Linked DNA regions of Schizosaccharomyces pombe. The protein of the gene in region 2 interacts with the protein of the main gene of each other region in a pairwise test. Each region holds a gene or a part of one and is shown on either strand. Other genes may lie near its edges.

Region 1 (7,886 bases), on a different chromosome or scaffold from region 2:
ACTCGATATTGCCAGATGTTATTGGATATAATTTATGGATTAAAAATTCAACAAGCAATTTAACTTGGAATAATAAATAATACCATACGCAAGGGAATTCTCGTATTCTATTCAATTTCTATATTAATAATGAATAATAATATAAACCAAGTCCGCAAATCTATAGTTTCATTTAACGAACCTCGTTAAAATTATGTTGGCTCCTCCTTCATTTACGATATGAAGATTAAGGAAATCCATCGAGTCACTAATTTATTTCTCAGATTAACAAATATCTTATCTATGCTTGTCCCATGATCAAACTAATCATAGACAAGATCGTTATCATTTCATCGAACTGATTTACCGGTGTATTAATTGAGCAGAATTAATATGAAATTTACCAATATGCCACAGTGGTGAAAAGGCCTGTTTTCCAAAGTGCTGTGTCTTTTTTAAAAAAACGATCATTCGGTGATTTTTTTGTATATAATTAATTAACCGTATAAATTACTAGCAACTCTCATTCCCAGCTTTTAACCCTCAATCATTTTTAAGGGAAAATTCGTTTACTTAAACACGACTTTGTTTTATCCATTTATTAATTTAAATGAAGCAATCGCGAACGAAGCGCGTTTTAGCAATTGGCGAACTAAAATTTGCTACAAACACGTTGAAAAGATTATCTGAAAAGTATCATTTTGAGTTTATCGTTCCAGATCCACACGATCGATCCAAAACGATAGAAAAAATTCACGAAGCTGCCTCAAAATCTACATTTGATGCTTGCTTTTGGTTATTCAGAAATGCAGCCATTTCGCCATTTACGGAAGAAATGCTGGGGCCTTTACTTCCCACTTGTAAATTGTTCGTAACTGGTGCTGCTGGTTACAATAATGTTGATGTCGACTGGGCTACAAGAAATGGTGTTTACGTCGCAAATACTCCAAACGGACCTACAGAGGGAACAGCAAATATGAATTTAATGCTCTTTATGTGTACACTCCGTGGAGCTCGAGAGGCAGAACAAAGTCTTCGCCTTGGCAAATGGCGTCAAAACTTATCGCTGACGGACGATCCATATGGAAAACGAGTGGGCATTATTGGGATGGGCGCAATTGGCAAATCTTTTGCTCAAAAAATTCTTCCTCTAGGTTGTGAAATTGTATATCATAATAGAAATCGCCTGGAGGCAGAGGAAGAGAAAAGACTAGGTGCGTCTTTTGTTTCTTTCGATGAACTGCTAAGCTCTAGTGATGTAATTAGCATTAATTGCCCTCTTACCCCAGCAACTCACGATTTAATATCCACGAAGGAATTTGAAAAAATGAAGGATGGAGTTTATATTATTAACACAGCTCGTGGTGCAATAATTAATGAAGATGCCTTTATCAAGGCTATAAAATCTGGCAAAGTTGCTCGTGCAGGTCTCGACGTGTTTTTGAATGAACCTACTCCCAATAAATTTTGGTTGGAATGCGATAAAGTAACCATCCAACCACATTGTGGTGTATATACCAATTTTACGGTTGCTAAAACAGAGGAATGTGTTTTAGCAAGTATTGAAACATTTCTTGATACAGGAATCCCCACCAATCCAGTCAACGGTCCGTTCGGCATGAATGGTTGTTGATGCAAGTCAAAAGTCCTTTACATCTACACAAGTAAAGTATATGTTAATAAAAAATATTCATTTTTATGTTGTTGCTTTTTGTGAGCACGTATCTGTAAAGAATACATATGAGAGATTCTGTCATTTTGAATGCTGCTTTTTGGGTCAGCCTGTTCAAACTTACATAGTTGAAAAGATTATCACATCCTTATTTTTTAAAGCTAACTATTTATTATTCACTTGTTAAGATGCTCCTCCTCTCAGGGAAAAGTAAAAGTAGAAGTTCATTTTCCAAAATGGGACTTTACAGAAAAATTGAATATCTGATTCCATTTCAAGGATTTGGAAGATATTTATCTTTGCGTGCGTATACTAGACATGCTCGCATAATTTTATAGTAGGATGCTAGCAACGGTGATTAAATTGGCAAGTCGAATTATCTTAGATCTAAGGCTAAAATCATAAACTGCTATAATCTTTTAGATATCAGGCTACTACAAACTGCTGTTGCCAATTTAAAATGGTATGGTACATGAATCGATCCTTCGATAAATGTCTATCTAAGTGTTCGTATTAGTCAGAATATTTTGGTTCCGAACTGATATCCTCCCGCGTGTGCATAAAATATTCCATTTCATTCAATATCAATTCATAAACTAGTCATTAGATGAAGAAAATATTTCTAGTTCGTATTATTTATATAAGCATACGTAGAACCATAAAGTCAGGCAGACTAGTTCCTAGTTTTGGCTTGAGTAAGTTCAATTTCACTTCGACGAAACTGGCGTTTATCAACGTACAAATTTAATTCTTTCCTCAATTTAAGAAAAATGCCTCTTTTTTTTAACTTCGTAATATCTATACGGTAAAGACATGTTTAAAATGGTATAATCTAATGAGCTATGTAGTTTTCATCTTATCAACTGCAGCTAAAGATGGGTTGCTTCAATATCGTGTTTGATTATCTGCAAAATGTCCGACATCTTTCATATTGATTACTATTAAACTTTTTTTTTTTTTTCAACCAGAATAGTATCGACTGGTTACCCTTTATCAAACTTGTGTGACTAGGTTGAGTTATCAATATGGACCATTCGTAAAGCCCACAGCAAAACTCATTCGCAACTAGTCTGTGTTTAATATATACAGCAATTGACAAGATTAAGCATAAATATATAACTAAAAAAGACTCACATTTTTAAATGAAAAGGATCAGAAATGCTTGTGAATTGTGCAGGCGTAAGAAGCTAAGATGCAATGGTGAATTAACTTGCCAAAATTGTATGGTATATGGCGAAGAGTGTCGTTATGTTAAGCGGGTTAAACATGACAATCGAGCAGCAGTACAAGAAAACGAAAGGTATCCTATACTCTACACTCCGCTCAGCACTTCAGATCATGATAACGACGAAGAGAATGAAATCAATGAGTTGAAAAATGCTGTTAAAGCTTTGGATAAACGTTTTGATAATTTCGAATTAAAGCTAGAGGCTCTTTTCTCTTTATTAAGATCTCAGCAGGACTCAGAGAGGAAAGTGAAACCCGGGGGTTTTCCATCTTTGGTTTCACAGATTTTGAGTGCAGGGGCTCTCGTGGATTCAAAATTGCAGGCATACACTATGAGAACCAATTTTTTTTCTAATGGATTTAGCAGCAACGATTTATTCCCCCATAGCTTTCCTACTTGGAAAAGTGCCTTTCGAGATGTTCCAGACAAAGATTGGGCTAAAACATGCTTGGATTGGTATTTCAGATTTATCAATTGTAATTGGCCTATATTTTATAAGAAACAGTACATGGAAAGCTTTGAAAAGTTATATATAGACAAGAATTTGGTCAAGGGTGCCTGGATTGTCTCGTTCTATGCTATTTTGGCTTTGGCTGTATCTCGAGACAAAAGAGTCGATAATAGTAAATTGGCGGAGTCTTTTTTTGCTACTTCCTGGTTTCTAATTCAAAGACCTGGCTTTTTTCTCACACCGCAACTCGAAAAAATTCAAGCATTAGTGATCATGATTCAGTTCGCAAGTCATCTGTCGTTGTACAATCTCTGCAAAAAACTTTGCGGTCAAGTTTGTTTGATGGTTAAGGATTTAAATTTACACAAAGAAAGTACAGACAAAGATCTTGACCAAGATATGGCAGAATTGCATAGACGAATATTTTGGGTATGCTACATTTTTGAAACTACCACATCCTTGATTTTCGGAACCCCTCCCGTTTTGGGAGATCTGGAAATTGAGTGCAAATACCCTGACATTAATTATGCTCATTGTTTTGCTGAAAACGTCCAAGGAGATTTAATATTTACATGTGAAATATCGTTAACCGTTTTGAAACACGAAATAAGGACTAAGCTCTACAATAGTAATAATGTTTTTTTAGACAAAGGTCAAAAGGGTGTGATATCTAACATTCAAACAAAGATATTGAATTTTGAAAGAGCCATTCCTTCTGAAATGAAGCATTATTTTGAGATACTTAAGGCAGGTAACGGGCTGCCCGAAGAACTGGATATTATTAAGCAACATTTTTTTACAGCTTGCGTGGAAATATATCTGTCATATTGCAATACACTTATTTATTTATATCTCGCGGACGATAGCATTGAAGGATCAAAAATTTGTTTAAGCACGGCTAGAGCAGCTATTGACGTTATTAAGGGATTTTTGGTGGTTCTTGATCCTATTTCAAAAAATATTTGTTATCTTTGGCTGTTTCTTTATTGTCCGTTTACACCTTTTTTGACGGTTTTTTCACATCTTTTGGAAGACGACGACTTGGACGCTGATATATGCGTCAAGGACGTTGATCGGTTATACTCTATTCATGCTTTTTTTTTAAAAATGAAAGATATCAGTGGAGAATTTGCTGAGAGGTTATCAGTTATTACTGAGAATTTTATTCAATCGGCTGAGCAATATCTTGCGCTGCAAAATACAAGTGTGTTTGGGACATTTGATGCCTTGAGCGAAAGTTTTTCAATTTAATATTTATATACTAATAATTTAAAGGCTTAAATATGTCCTTTTATTTGAATGCTTACTGTATCGTGTTCTTATCGCTTACTGTTTTCAAAGCGCATGCTTGATATATATATGGCAAGTTAATTTACTTTGACGACAAGTATCGGAAAATATTTATGTCGTGAGGATTCTATGTACAATATAATGGTTTTAATCAATATATATTATCACTTTAACATTTTTTGATCGATTCATTCACCGGGCAATATTATCTCAACAATTTCTAATCTGACGGTTTGCGGGTTTTCCAATTTAGCGAGAACATGAAATAACTTATAGCTCATATGTTATGTTATAATTAGCCAACGACTTCGTAAATTTGAAAAATTAATGCTTACTTAGACTGGTTGTCCTATACGCCCAGGTCATCACTTTTTAGAATTTTCTAGTACTTTTAATATATTGGTTGTTTTCGGTTATTGATAAACAGTTCTTGAGCTGGCTTGAGTCTGCGATGCTATCATTCATGATCAATAATACTGTAAACAACCATTTTTAATATTCATTGTGGACCACAACATGGGAATGATTTTTATTATTATAGTAAACTAGCTACTGGTAAATTATTAAAGAGAAGTCGAAAATATTACAACCAATTGACCGAATCTTCGTTAAGGACATGCATAGTTTAAGACACTCATCATCTTATTTAGTGTTGTCAATACAGTGGATTTCAATAGACAGGATAATCAGTATAATAAGTAAATATCGATAGAAGAACCGATGCTATTTGTTGGACGTTACAGAAATTCATTTGTAGGTTCATAGTGACAAAAATTATATGTCAAATACTTTAAGAACTTATAGGTCTTCGTCAAACGGGTATTAAACCATCATCATTCTGGCTAGTGATGCTTAAGAAATCAGGAATAATTCTACCTCAGCATTGTACAAACGAAAATGCTTACATGTCTATTAACATACCCAATTGATATTTCCCACTTAAATCAACAAACGGGTATACAATTTGATACAAAAATTAGACTAATAGAACTAGGAATAGTGTACGTGACCTGTTCTTTTATAATTAAGAAAAAAACACAAGTTCCAATTTATTAATTAACTAAAGAAGGTAATAGGGGATCTAGTAAAGAGGTTTACAATATACTAATAACTTGACTAAAAGAATTGACTAATTATTATTCCTTCATCAATGCACACCGGTAAAAAACAGTAAAAAAACAAAAAAATCAATAGAAAATTAAATAGAATAACGAAATTCGGGATTTTCAAAGTCGGTCAAATCCTTTTTGTCTTCCTCACTCAATTCATTTGATAAATATTCGTTTTTTTCATCCCTTCTGCGATTCTCTCGCACATTAACGGCATAAATAGCAATAATAATAAATATAGCAACGCAATAACAAACGACAAATGATACTTTAGCTCCTTGGTATTTTGGAGCTTGTGTAGACCTAAATGTTTGGGGGCCGACCATATTTCCAACGCAATATCCAATCATGGAAACAGCGCTCATAAAAACTTTTTTGGTGTGGCCTGCGCTATTAGACGAAATGCAGCTAAGGATGCAAATATATGGAATTGGTGAAATGCCAAACAACCAGTATCCTGCAAGTTGTGCATGTGTAGGTTTTGCAAATGCAATAAGTGATCCGGAAGTTAAGTTAATAGCCAGGCCAACCAAAGCAATATCCATTCGTCTATTCGTAAACTCTGGGATAAGGCCAAACAAAGTTAAGGCAGCAAACGAAATGGAGGAAGTGGGCATATTCATAAGCAATGCCTTACCTTTTACGTAGCCAAGATTCTTTAACATGATGCTACTAAAATTTGAAAGCCCACCATTAGGGATAGCAACGGCTATTTGTAGGAAAAAGTATAAGTACATACGTACATCTCGACAAGCTTCCAATATTTGGTATTTCTTAAACTTTTTGCTGCCAAGCCCTGCATGATCAGTGTCTAAACGCTTGAGGACAAGATCCTTTTCCTTTTCACTCAAGAACCAAGCTTTGGAGGGTTCATCGGGAATGTGAATAAATATGAAAACCCCGTTAATTATGGTAATCAATCCAGTGATAATAAATAAGATTCTCCAAGGGGACATGGTTAAATTGTTTTCAAGCTCTCGTTTATACAAGCCGTAAGACATACTTCCTCCAATAAGACCACCAAGTCCATTCCAGGCTACAAGGAATGCCATACGAAAAAATTGTTCTTCTTTTCTATACCATTGTGCAATAAACAAAACAAAAGCTGGCGTAATAACTGATTCCAATATACCCAACAAAGTACGAGTAGCGATATAGGAAGCATAAGAATGCACCAGGCAAGTCAAGGTCATTAATATACCCCAGGCCACAATGAAGGCAGACGTTACTTTGCTAAGAGGAAATTTTTGTAACAGAGTGGATAATGGTAACGAGAATACCATAAAACCAAGATAAAAAGACGTACCAACCCAATTGTATTGATTGCCCACCATATTTAAATCGGTGCGAATACCCATAATTGATGAATAATTACTGGTGGATTTGTCCATATATTGAAATGCTGAAATGAGGCAGAGAAGTGGCATAACCCATAAATCTGTCTTTAATTTGAGTTTTCGATTTAGCGATTTGTCAATAATGGGATGTTTCTCTGCAAAAATCACAGCAACATCCTCTTGGCTGTCTGATCCTTTTTCACCCAACTCCTTAATACTGTAATTTTCTTCTTCTGTCTTCTCCATGATGAGATTAGTAGTAATTGTTGTGAATGTAAGCACAATAATAAATATTTGAACTTTCCTTCGTCCTTTATATAATTGAAAGCGTCAAAGCATTATCATTGATACAAACCAGATAAGCTACAACTATGTTGATTTTAGCAGACAAAGGGCTGCAACAAGTCAACAAATTTGACAGATTAGTTTGCAAAATACTTATTTTACAAGTATCTACAGCATTTTGTCTCAGATTCAATTTCCAACTTGGTCTTCCGTGGGTAGAATAGGTTGAAATTTCGCATCAGGTATGCATACAATCAACATGAAAATCCCCAGATTTTCTTATTTTCTCATCCACGGATCTTACATCCGTGGATAGAAGTCGGAGTATGAAGGTGCCATTTTGGGGTGTACAACTTGCAACATTAATCTACCTTTTTTTCTCTAAAGATTACCACTATTGATTTAACGGACTAAGAAATTATAAAAATATTAAAGCCGTTAAAGAAAAGTAACTTTATATAACGATATATTTATTTTTTATAATTTTAAAAAGACTACTTAATAAAATGAAAATTTAAATTAAAAGAATTAATTC
Region 2 (10,126 bases):
GGGTCTTTTCCCATAAGTGCATCTCTGTGCAAACTTGATTTTTCATATTGATAGCGAGAAGGTGCAAAAATTAGCTTTTCGTGGGTGGAATCAGTATTTTCAGACATCGTGGTAAACGGGATTGGAAAAGATACTTTTCCTCGTTTCAGGCAGTAACTGAATTTATATGAGATATCTGTTTTGATATATATATAACGCGATGAAACGACTCAGTATCACGCACTAAAGAAAATGCTAGCAAAAGACGTGTCATACGGTACAGCATGCTAGAGCTGGTTAATTTTAACACAAATCGATCAAATTCTATGTCTTTTTAAATTGCCATGAACGATACCAAGAGTTACTGTCATGATACCAAAGTTTCAAGCATTCTTAAGCTTATCCCTGAAATTGTAACTGATGTCAATTGGGCACTTATTAAAACAGTGCTTCTACAGTAGCGGGAATGTTTAAAAGTATTATGTAAACTGAAGTTTTTTAACAACTATATGCCATGGTAACAACATTGTTCTCAACTTAGATCATCTAGTAATGTGTGGAACCAAATTTTATTACTTAGCGGTAGTCATAACCATTTCAGCAATGTTTGTACAGGAATGGTCCAGTGGTTAAAAGTAAAATTGAATACGCGATAAGTAAATTCTAGACATTTTAATGCATAAAATTCTAAGTTCTATATTAATCTATAAAAATATTTTACATAGCATCAAAAAAGATGCTTAAAATTATTTCAAGGAACGAAATAAAGATACATGCCAATAATCAAATATAATATATAAGAATAGCCCAAATCTCATCCAATTAGCACACAAATTTCAGTCTAATTGATAGAACTATTAATTGAGTGTTGGGTACTAGCATTTCCTAAAGAAGCAAGAGAAGAGTGACTAGTATTCAAAGAACGACGTTTAGGTTTCTGACCCATATGGCTATTTACCAAGGAAGAAATACGATTAACAACCGGTAGCGGGTAACGCTTGCGTTTCAATTGTTCCACAATTTCCATTGCCTTTCGACCGTCATTTACACTTAGGTAGGCACGAACCATATTTTCATAGGTGCTAGGTTCCTTACCAGACATACCCTCGCATTCTAAAAGGTCGAAGTAATAACGTGCTTTGCTAATCATGCCAACCTTAGTAAATCCCTTTATAAGGGCATTTACAATGTATGCATTTAACGAGACATTGTAACGCTTCATATCAGAAACAATTTGAATGCCTTCAACAATGCGGTCATTTGCAATAAGAGATTCAATTTGGGATTGGAATAAGTTCGCATCTAGTTGAATTTCCCCGGCATCATGTTTGGCAAGAGCATTCATGTAGCAACTCGTGGCTGCCTGAACATCCGAAACAACGTTTCCTAAAATATGAATATATGCAGCATAATGCATAGATAAAATTGGCACATCTGTACGCTCCATAAGTTCAAGAACTGCCTTTACGGAACCTACATTGACAGGCTTCAATGTACCATAAGCATCCATCAATAACTTATAAGTATGAGAAGAAGGCTCTATGTCGGTAGCACATAGCCTATTGTAGTAAAATAGCGCTTTTTCACGATTAAACATTGTCTGGACCTCAAATTGTATCATAGTGTTGTATGGAGCAACGCGAGGTTGATAGTTAGGCTGATTTTCCATTTCAGCAAATAGCTTCTCAGCAAGACTCTCGTCACCAATGCGACAAGCAGCATTAATTACGGTACCATAAGTAACGCTGGTAGGAAGTAACCCCGATTCCTTCATTTCTTGAAACAATTTCCAGCACTCTGTTGTGCGGCGAGCTCGACCTAATTTAGAAAGCACTGCATTATATAGAAAAACAGAAGGTTTCACATTATGGCGTTTGGTCTCCTCAAAAATATTCAAAGCGGTAGTGGCATCATCAGTATCTCCTCTCCTTGTTGAGTTGTTAATCAAATGTGCGAAAGTTGAAGCACGAGGAATATATCCAAGCATTTTCATATTGTCACAAAAAAGATTTGAAGATTTGAACTGACGAGCAAAGGAAGACGATAAGATCATGGCGTCTAAAATCAACGCCATAAACCAGTTCGCTTTTTCAAGAGACTTCGTACTGATTTTCCTATAGAGGTGCTTGGAATGCTCAAAAACACGTTGCACAGCATCAAAACGTTTATTTTTGCTTAAAACAGATATTAACGTAGGATAAACTTCAGGATGCAAAAATTTATTGGTTTCAATAAGCTTACCGAACTGGAAAAACAATATATTAACGTCCACCTGCTCAGGTGATGCACTTGTTAACATTTTGGAAACAAGTGAATTTATACTTTGATCGATGCATTCCAGGTCGTCAAGGCAATAACAAACTTGCGATATATCCGCTAAAATTTTCTGTCCATTGTTATCAGTAGAGAATCCGACGACTGCTTCAGAGACGATGTCATCTCGAACGGATGCAACCAGCATTTCGTCTTCTTTCAGGTATGTGAAAGAACGTAAAACAACATGAACGTTTTTGAAAGATGCTTTATACGTTCCATTGGAGTAACATTTTAACAAATCAGTGAGGATAACCTTAGAAGTGAAAGTACCTTCGGTTTGCACGACATTGAATGCTGCATATTCCAGCAAAAAGCCAAATACTCTAGGAGAAATGAGCTCCGGTTCTAAGCGACGGCTAACTAAGTAACCCGTTATATGTCGTAACAACGGAGTAGTAAAATCAACTTGAGGGAAGTTTACTTGGTTCTCTAACGTTGAAACCAACGATAAAAGAACATGCACATCTTTTTGTAACTCCTCCGTCAACACTTCCCAAAATCCATTAAGGATTGATAATTGAAGAGCAACACTATTAGAAGATGGTGCAGTATTGTTACCAAGGGAAACTTTTGGATCAATGTGTTTACGAAGTAGACGAAGTGCAACATCAATCTTTCCGTTCTCAATGAAAGCTTTGTAAACGTTCGAAAACGTAAAGTTAGTGTGAGAAGACACAGAACAAATAACGGGATATGCATGTAAATGAAGTAGATCGACATTCCCTGATCTGGCAAGCAAGTCCAGATAACGGAGAAGCACTGCATGACAGTCGCTAAATCGAGATAATGTATATTTTCTCACAAAAGCAATAGCAAACTTGTCGTTGTTGTTCAAACAAGCCGCCTCCAATATGGACGATAATGTAGACGGACTCGCTTTGTAAGTGCTAATCTTTTCTATAGCCATACCAAGCCATTCAGCAGATTCCTTATAATGTCCTAATTGAGCCAATCTACGTAAAAAGCAGTCTAATATTGAAGACGGTATAACTTGATTGCTATCAGCCTTTCGGAAAAAAGATTTCATCAATGCACTTGCTTCAACATGGTGATCTGTGTCAAAATAAGCTTCCATTAAACCTTCCCAAGAACGCACATTAGTCATCGAAGTGTCACTAGTTGGATCAGATAAGTTATAACGCTCTAAAAGTTGAAAACAACTGTTGAGCCTTTTAGCTCTACCGAGAGCTCTAATTAGAGCTGGGAGTAAATCAGGATGGCCGTTAGCTTCAATAGTGCCAAGAGGAACGCACTCTAATAAGGAATCCAATTGGCTTTGCGTTCCATACAAAGAAACACTCTCAATTAAAATAGCATAAAATTGAGGAGAGTATATGAGATCGTGATTAATGAGGCTAGAAGTAAACATGAAAACAGCAGTTTGCAAAGGCATCTCGGATTGCAGATCGAGCAATTCAGGCTGTATTTCTTTTGCAATACTCGGATGTGCGTAAATAGTGCGCTTAGAGAGTGATTCAATTTTTTGATGCACGAATTTAGCGCGACGACAAAGAGCGAAAATGACGGTTTCAAATGTAGTTACGTTTGGAGAGATAAACGAATTAAGCATATCGACATAAACCTTGATAATTTTTTGAATGTTTTTTGATGACGACAAAAAATAGTCGTCCGTACTCATGCATTGCAAAACAATATTGTACGCTTCCAAAGTCAATAGTTCAGGAGAGTTTCGAACAAGCTTATACAGATCAAAAGTATGAATGGATAATTTACTACTAGCAAGTCTTTTCAAAAATTGAATAAACTCATTGGCAGAAGTGAAAGAATTCAGAGAAATTGAAGCAAAAGAAGATTCCAAAGAATTAGGAGTTAAAGTATCCAGTAAAGGGTCCGAAACTTCGGACTGGGTTTCAGTTGAGAGGGGAGATGTTGCGAGAGAGTTAAATTGTTGTTCATCATCTACATCACCGCATGTCGAGTCACATAGTGACGAGAGAGAAGCAGGTAAAAGAGAAGCAGAAAAATGTGAGCTGTTAGGGTTGAGATTGTCAACAAAGCGATGAAGGGACTTGCCTGGAGGAGATTGCTTACGCTCAGAAAGAGAAGGATCGAAGTAACCAAGCTGAATACTACGGTCATGGAAGATAATGTCATCCTCAGTTAAGAAAAGACGCTCATCCAATGAACCAGGTGCTTTCGTGTTAGAGAGAGAGAGGTTCGTTTGGGCTTGTTGTTGTTGAATCCAATTCGTCATATTTCCAAGCTTCAAAGGAGGACGATGAACGGCAACATTTTTGCCAAGTGTTTGTCTGGCAATATTTTGCAAAAACCAAGCTTTCGTGTAAACCATATTGAAACTAATATTAAGCGTAAATGGGATAATAGTCTAGAAAATAAACAAAAACGGATATAAACAATCTAAAAAAAAATTAGACCAAAAAGAGACACAATAAATAGAAAAAACGTAAAACAAATGAAATGAATAATAAAAAGAATAGTAAACACCCAAAGAACACAAGAAATGAATAAAAAAGAGAGAAAAACGGAAACGATATGTATAGCTAAACGGTATAGCCGACCACCAACCAGAATATCCACTAACTCAGGGAAAGAAGACTAGCAGGACAGACTATAAAATAGTACAGCAAAGGTTAAATGAAATGGTCACTGAGATTTGAAATATAGAATAAATCAAGTGAATGTGTTATGTACGCCTGGTAATGACGAGCCTATCACCGTTATCAGATGAACTGCGTTATAGACCAGAATAAGAGTGAAATATACACAAAGCAAACAAAGGAGTGCTAGTTGGAGGGTACGTAAAGATTCAAGGATTGAAAAATAAAAAGATAGAGCAATCCTAGCACTCGCAATTGAATTATCAAAGACAAATAAAAATTCCAATAAAGTCAAATGAAGAAAGCGATTCGAATACTTTGCTTATAAAGTAGAATTTTTACAATGTTTTCAAAGTACGATCGTCTTAATGGCAAGTGGAGAAGAGTATATATGACGATTTAAATCTGATCAAGCGTCAGCAGTGGCGAAATGAAACAAGACGCCGATATGAAAATTACAAGAGGAGGGTAATTTAGTTATATCAAATTGAAGCAGGGGAGTGGAATAAATGAATGAAGAAATAGATGGGAAAAAACAATAAACCTGACGAAATCTAATACACCGTGCCAAACAAAAGAGGATTGGGTAGAAAACCTAGGTACGTTAAACCGAATAACAAAAAAAAGGGAGAGAAAATGATAGAATAATTAAATGCTTAGTTCATCTAAAATGCGGAAAAAGAAAAGCGATTTGAGCTTCAAGAATTTGTTGAATGAATAACAGATATGTCTGTAGCTAATGAATCCTCAGAAAAGGGCAAGGAAGTAGATCTATAAGGGAAGTGTGTGCTTGATTAATTAAAACACCAAGCACAAGTTTCGTGTGTTTAAGCTTCCAACAGGGAAAGATGAGGATGGCGACGCAAAAAAAAAAGCGGAAATTTTTCACAATCAACAAAATTATTTCGTTTTGTTGAAAAACGAGCTGTTACAGGGCAATAAGTGTGAAAATAATCTATTTCAACAATTGTCTAGTACGTAGTAACAGAGTATTCAGTATGGCTTTCGACAAGTTCAAGTTTAAAATTGAACGAGTGATATTTGTAGTTGGTTGGTCGTAGCAATTTTGTGAGACAATGAAGTCAAAGTCACGTTACCCCGAATAAGAAGTCTTAAAGATAAGGAGCTGCTAAATATGTGGTAAAAGATATTCTGCACCCGTTGATAATTCGACGAATTTAGCGAATGTTAGTTTGTCAGGATGTCAGGTATGTATATATATGGAAACCAATATTTTAGCGTGGACCAAACGAGCCTCGTCGGTGAAAAAAGAAGATAAAAAAAATTGTGGATCGATTTTTTTGAGACAAGTTTATCGTCCCAACGCAAATTCGAAGGCGGACGATATTGAGATAGATTTGAGAAGCGGAACTAGCGCCAGTTTTGCCGCAGCTAGTAAAAGGGGACAGGTTAGGAACACATTTTATCGGGTAAGGAGATTTTCCAACAACTCCTAAGTTGGGACTAAGCAAAATTCAGGAAGGGTGGGAAATTACAAAAATAGCACGCAAGAGATGAGAAGTAAGAGTCTATTGTGCTAGCTGAAAAATCCCGTAGGCAGACAAACCTACGAATCGCATACAGGTGCAGAAATAAATAAATACATGGCGAATTTCATTATTAGAGAAATACGTGAATCCTAAACTTTAAACTATACTTCGCGCCTAAGAAAACATTTTTAGACAAAACAAAATTCATTGACCTTAAAACGGGTACTTTTAAAATAAGTGCACTAAAGAATAATCAAGCTCCTCTGCGCACAGTATCTCAACCTTATTAGAAAGAAAACTTGCGGAATTACTCATTAAATAACCAGATCATTTAGAATCACGAAGTATGGAGGGAAAACAAATGGCATTGGTATGATTTTAAATACACAAGCCTCCATTACTGTCTGAGCCTCACTCTCTGGAAGCCCTCCAATCGAAACGTTACTTTATGGAAAGAAAGGCATTATAAAATGTATCGATGGGGTATGCTGTGAGTTGTAAATGATCATTGCTGACATATATCATGTTGATCTGATAAAAAGTCATATGTTACAATGGTAGAAACTCGAACGAGTGCTCGGTATATTGAATATACAGCACTACTTTGATATTCTCGGTATAGATCGGCAATTTGCAATATAACAATTTATAAATGGTAGGTCACTGTAGTTCAATATTTCAAGAGTATCTAGGTTGCCATAAAGGTTAGCGTGGTATTGAGAAAAGGATGAATATTATCAAGAATTGACTCCGTAGATCAGTCTTTATCTATTATATTTCTTAATTGTTCACTGCTTCCCAGTCATGATTCACAGATCGACAATTGACTTAGTGTCGGCCCACTAGTATTGTAGCCAGCTTTAAAGAATGTCTTGTTGGTCTATACTAACAACCATAACACTTAGAACAATAAACTAAATCGCAATCTTAACAATTAAGTACAAGCGCTAATCCGAGCAAGGTAGCGCATTCGAACCTTTAACGAATCTGTAATACAACAGAATTCGTGACCTTTATTTTTTTAAAATATCTAACAACAACCTGTGATTGTCGTAAATGCTTTTCTAATTATTAGTTCATGATAAACAGATTTGTAATTCTTTAGTTATAGCACCTTAGAGTTCTGTGCTGTAGTATAAAAATTATTGTAGTGTGGAAAAATTGATTAAAACATATGTGAAAAGCAAAGCTTTTTCCAAAAAAAAAAAAAAAAAAAAAAAAAAAGAAAATAAATTAATAAATAAATAAACTATTACAATGAACATACTAGACTGCAGTAAAACCCTTTCCATCTAAATATTTTAAATATGCAGTATTCGAATTTTTCTTTTACTTAAATAACCAAAAATAAAAATAATTCATACGTATTACAACATAAAACAAGCAACAATGTTTGTGATTTAATTATATACGCATCGCCTTCTTCATTTAAAATACGTATGTGACGGTTCCCTTGTTTGGTTATGCACATCTATTTGTTTACTTTTTAAATATTGGAATAATGCTGCTAATGTAAAGCCTGCGACCTTCATTAACTGTTAATCATTAAAGAATAGGGTAAAAAAATCATCAAGAAACAAAATAGTCGGTGATAAAGCAAAAAAATTGCATTATGTAGTTTTGTTCCGATATCTTGTTTTTTACATTTTTAAACGGTACTTCAAAAATACAATGCAACCACCGAAGACTTCAAATAATTTAGCTTCTGATAAATAATTTTAGAAATTTATTATAGTAATAATTTAATCTACAAATTTCGCAATCAAATATTAGTTTGGATATATGAAATCGCTAATTTTTGGATATTAGGTTATTCAGGTTATACACGTTAAACAGCAATTTAACACTTGCATGCAGTGTCCAATTTTAAATTAGCTTTCATACAAAAATTGGCTGCTATAAATTATGCCTGCAAGATAGTGTGATATTATAGAATTTTCTTCATTCTAATATTCTTTTGTAATGTTACTGAAAGAATTTGAATAACATTAAACTTCTATATTTTTTCTGAAAGTATGCAGGTGACAGTAAACATAGCTTCTAAAAAAACAAAGAACCCTTTTAAATTTAAGGAAAATGCTCAGTTGTAGAAAAGAAAGCATGCATGTCTTAAATTGTATTTTTTTTGACAACATTCAATAACAAATATAAAAATAAATTTGAAAATTTTGTTTATGCTTGCTTCTTTTTCGCTTTGATATCTTGCATCCACAATCCGAGTACGTTAATATTTCTCGATTGTTTGCCAAGTGATCTATTATTCAAAATTATTTATTTTTCTGTTGAATTTCCTACTGAATAAGCTTATATCGTTCTAATGGTGTACTCGAAGATATTGCATAAATACCATCTCCAAATTGATTGTTATTATTATTATCTTTCTTTTAATAAAATACTTCTACGTTTTTTGAACCATCTTACTTTGCTTTTTGTATCTAGAATTGAGGAGCAGACGCGATTTACTTAATGTATGATCGCATTGAGTCGAACGTGTTGTTAGTTGTCAACACTTACTTTATTTTCATAACCTCACATCCAGTTTGCTTCGTCAAGCCATAAAGTAGCGAATAGCAATATTAAATTGATTTGAATGTTTAGAAATTTAACTTAAATTTTTTATTTCATTCAAACATCGTCGTCATTTTCCAGATAATGAAATATTGGCAGGCAATTCTATTTTTCCTATTTGGAATCGCTTTCGCGAACAATCTTAATATTCCTTGGAAGGTAAAACAAAATTTTTTTTAGGCTTATTTCAACCATAACTCGAATAGTCTTAGTAAGCCTGTGAACATGGATTTTATTCGACTTAAGAATATAAATCTACCTTACTGAGATTCTTTCGGAGAAATGGTGACAAATTCAAGTGTTTCTAATCTAACAATTATTTAGGCATGTCCTAATTACAAGACATACTCTGGAAGGAGACATTATCCAGCTACTGGCCCTTTGAGGTTACCGTTTCAACGACCAGCAACATCATGCCGTACGTTTCATTCTAAATCGGTGGAGCAGACTATTGAAGATGTGAAGGAGCAACTTGAGGATGAAGATTTAGCACGTTTATTTGAAAATTGTATGCCAAATACTCTTGATACTACAATTCGTTGGCATGCCGCTGATTCACATAATCCTCAAACCCTAGTAATCACTGGTGATATTCCTGCCGAATGGATCAGAGATTCTGCAAACCAGCTTTTGCCTTACTTACCTCTAGCTAAATCAGACTCACCATTAGCGACGTTGATTCTTGGTGCCATACAAACGCAAGCTGAAATGTTAATCCAGTTTCCTTATTGTAACGCTTTTCAGCCTCCTAAACAAAGCTTTCTTTCAGGAAACGACAATGGACAAAGTGATCGTGTCACACCAGCTTACGATCCAGCAGTTGTATTTGAGTGTAAATATGAATTAGATTCCTTGGCTTCATTTTTAAAGCTCTCCTACACTTATTGGCTTTATACGAAGGATCAATCTATTTTTACTGTGAAATGGCTTGCGGCTGTTGAACGCATAATTCAAGTTTTAGAAGAGCAGTCTTCTCCATCATTTGACGAAAAGACCGGTTTGCCTAAGGACCCAGTATATACTTTCCTCCGAAATACCGATTCTGGTACTGAAACTCTTGGCCTTGCTGGAAGAGGTTTTCCCCTTAACGCTAATGCATCTTTAATACGCAGTGCTTTTCGTCCATCTGATGATGCCTGTGTTTTACAATACTTTATTCCTGCTAATGCCATGATGGTTGTGGAACTTTCACAT

What was found. Proteins that work in one complex are often made in the same cells at the same time.
Region 1: the proteins of ppr5 (region 2) and SPOM_SPBC1773.16C interact in a two-hybrid assay, tested with the Schizosaccharomyces pombe proteins (one large-scale study listed by BioGRID).

Annotation. Positions count from the first base shown.
Region 1 is NC_003423.3:315,388-323,273, reverse strand, and holds SPOM_SPBC1773.16C (transcription factor), read left to right. Parts: upstream 1-2,708; 5' UTR 2,709-2,793; coding exon 2,794-4,581; 3' UTR 4,582-5,580; downstream 5,581-7,886. Other genes in the region: gor2 (glyoxylate reductase), read left to right, coding at 590-1,612; dal52 (dipeptide transmembrane transporter), read right to left, coding at 5,819-7,312.
Region 2 is NC_003424.3:4,602,112-4,612,237, reverse strand, and holds ppr5 (PPR repeat-containing protein Ppr5), read right to left. Parts: upstream 5,421-10,126; 5' UTR 4,607-5,420; coding exon 821-4,606; 3' UTR 501-820; downstream 1-500. Other genes in the region: pdx3 (pyridoxamine 5'-phosphate oxidase), read right to left, coding at 1-107; SPOM_SPAC1093.07 (uncharacterized protein), read left to right, coding at 6,095-6,331; protein mug157, read left to right, coding at 9,017-9,091, 9,257-10,126. UniProt on the Schizosaccharomyces pombe protein: Mitochondrial RNA-binding protein that acts as a general negative regulator of mitochondrial translation.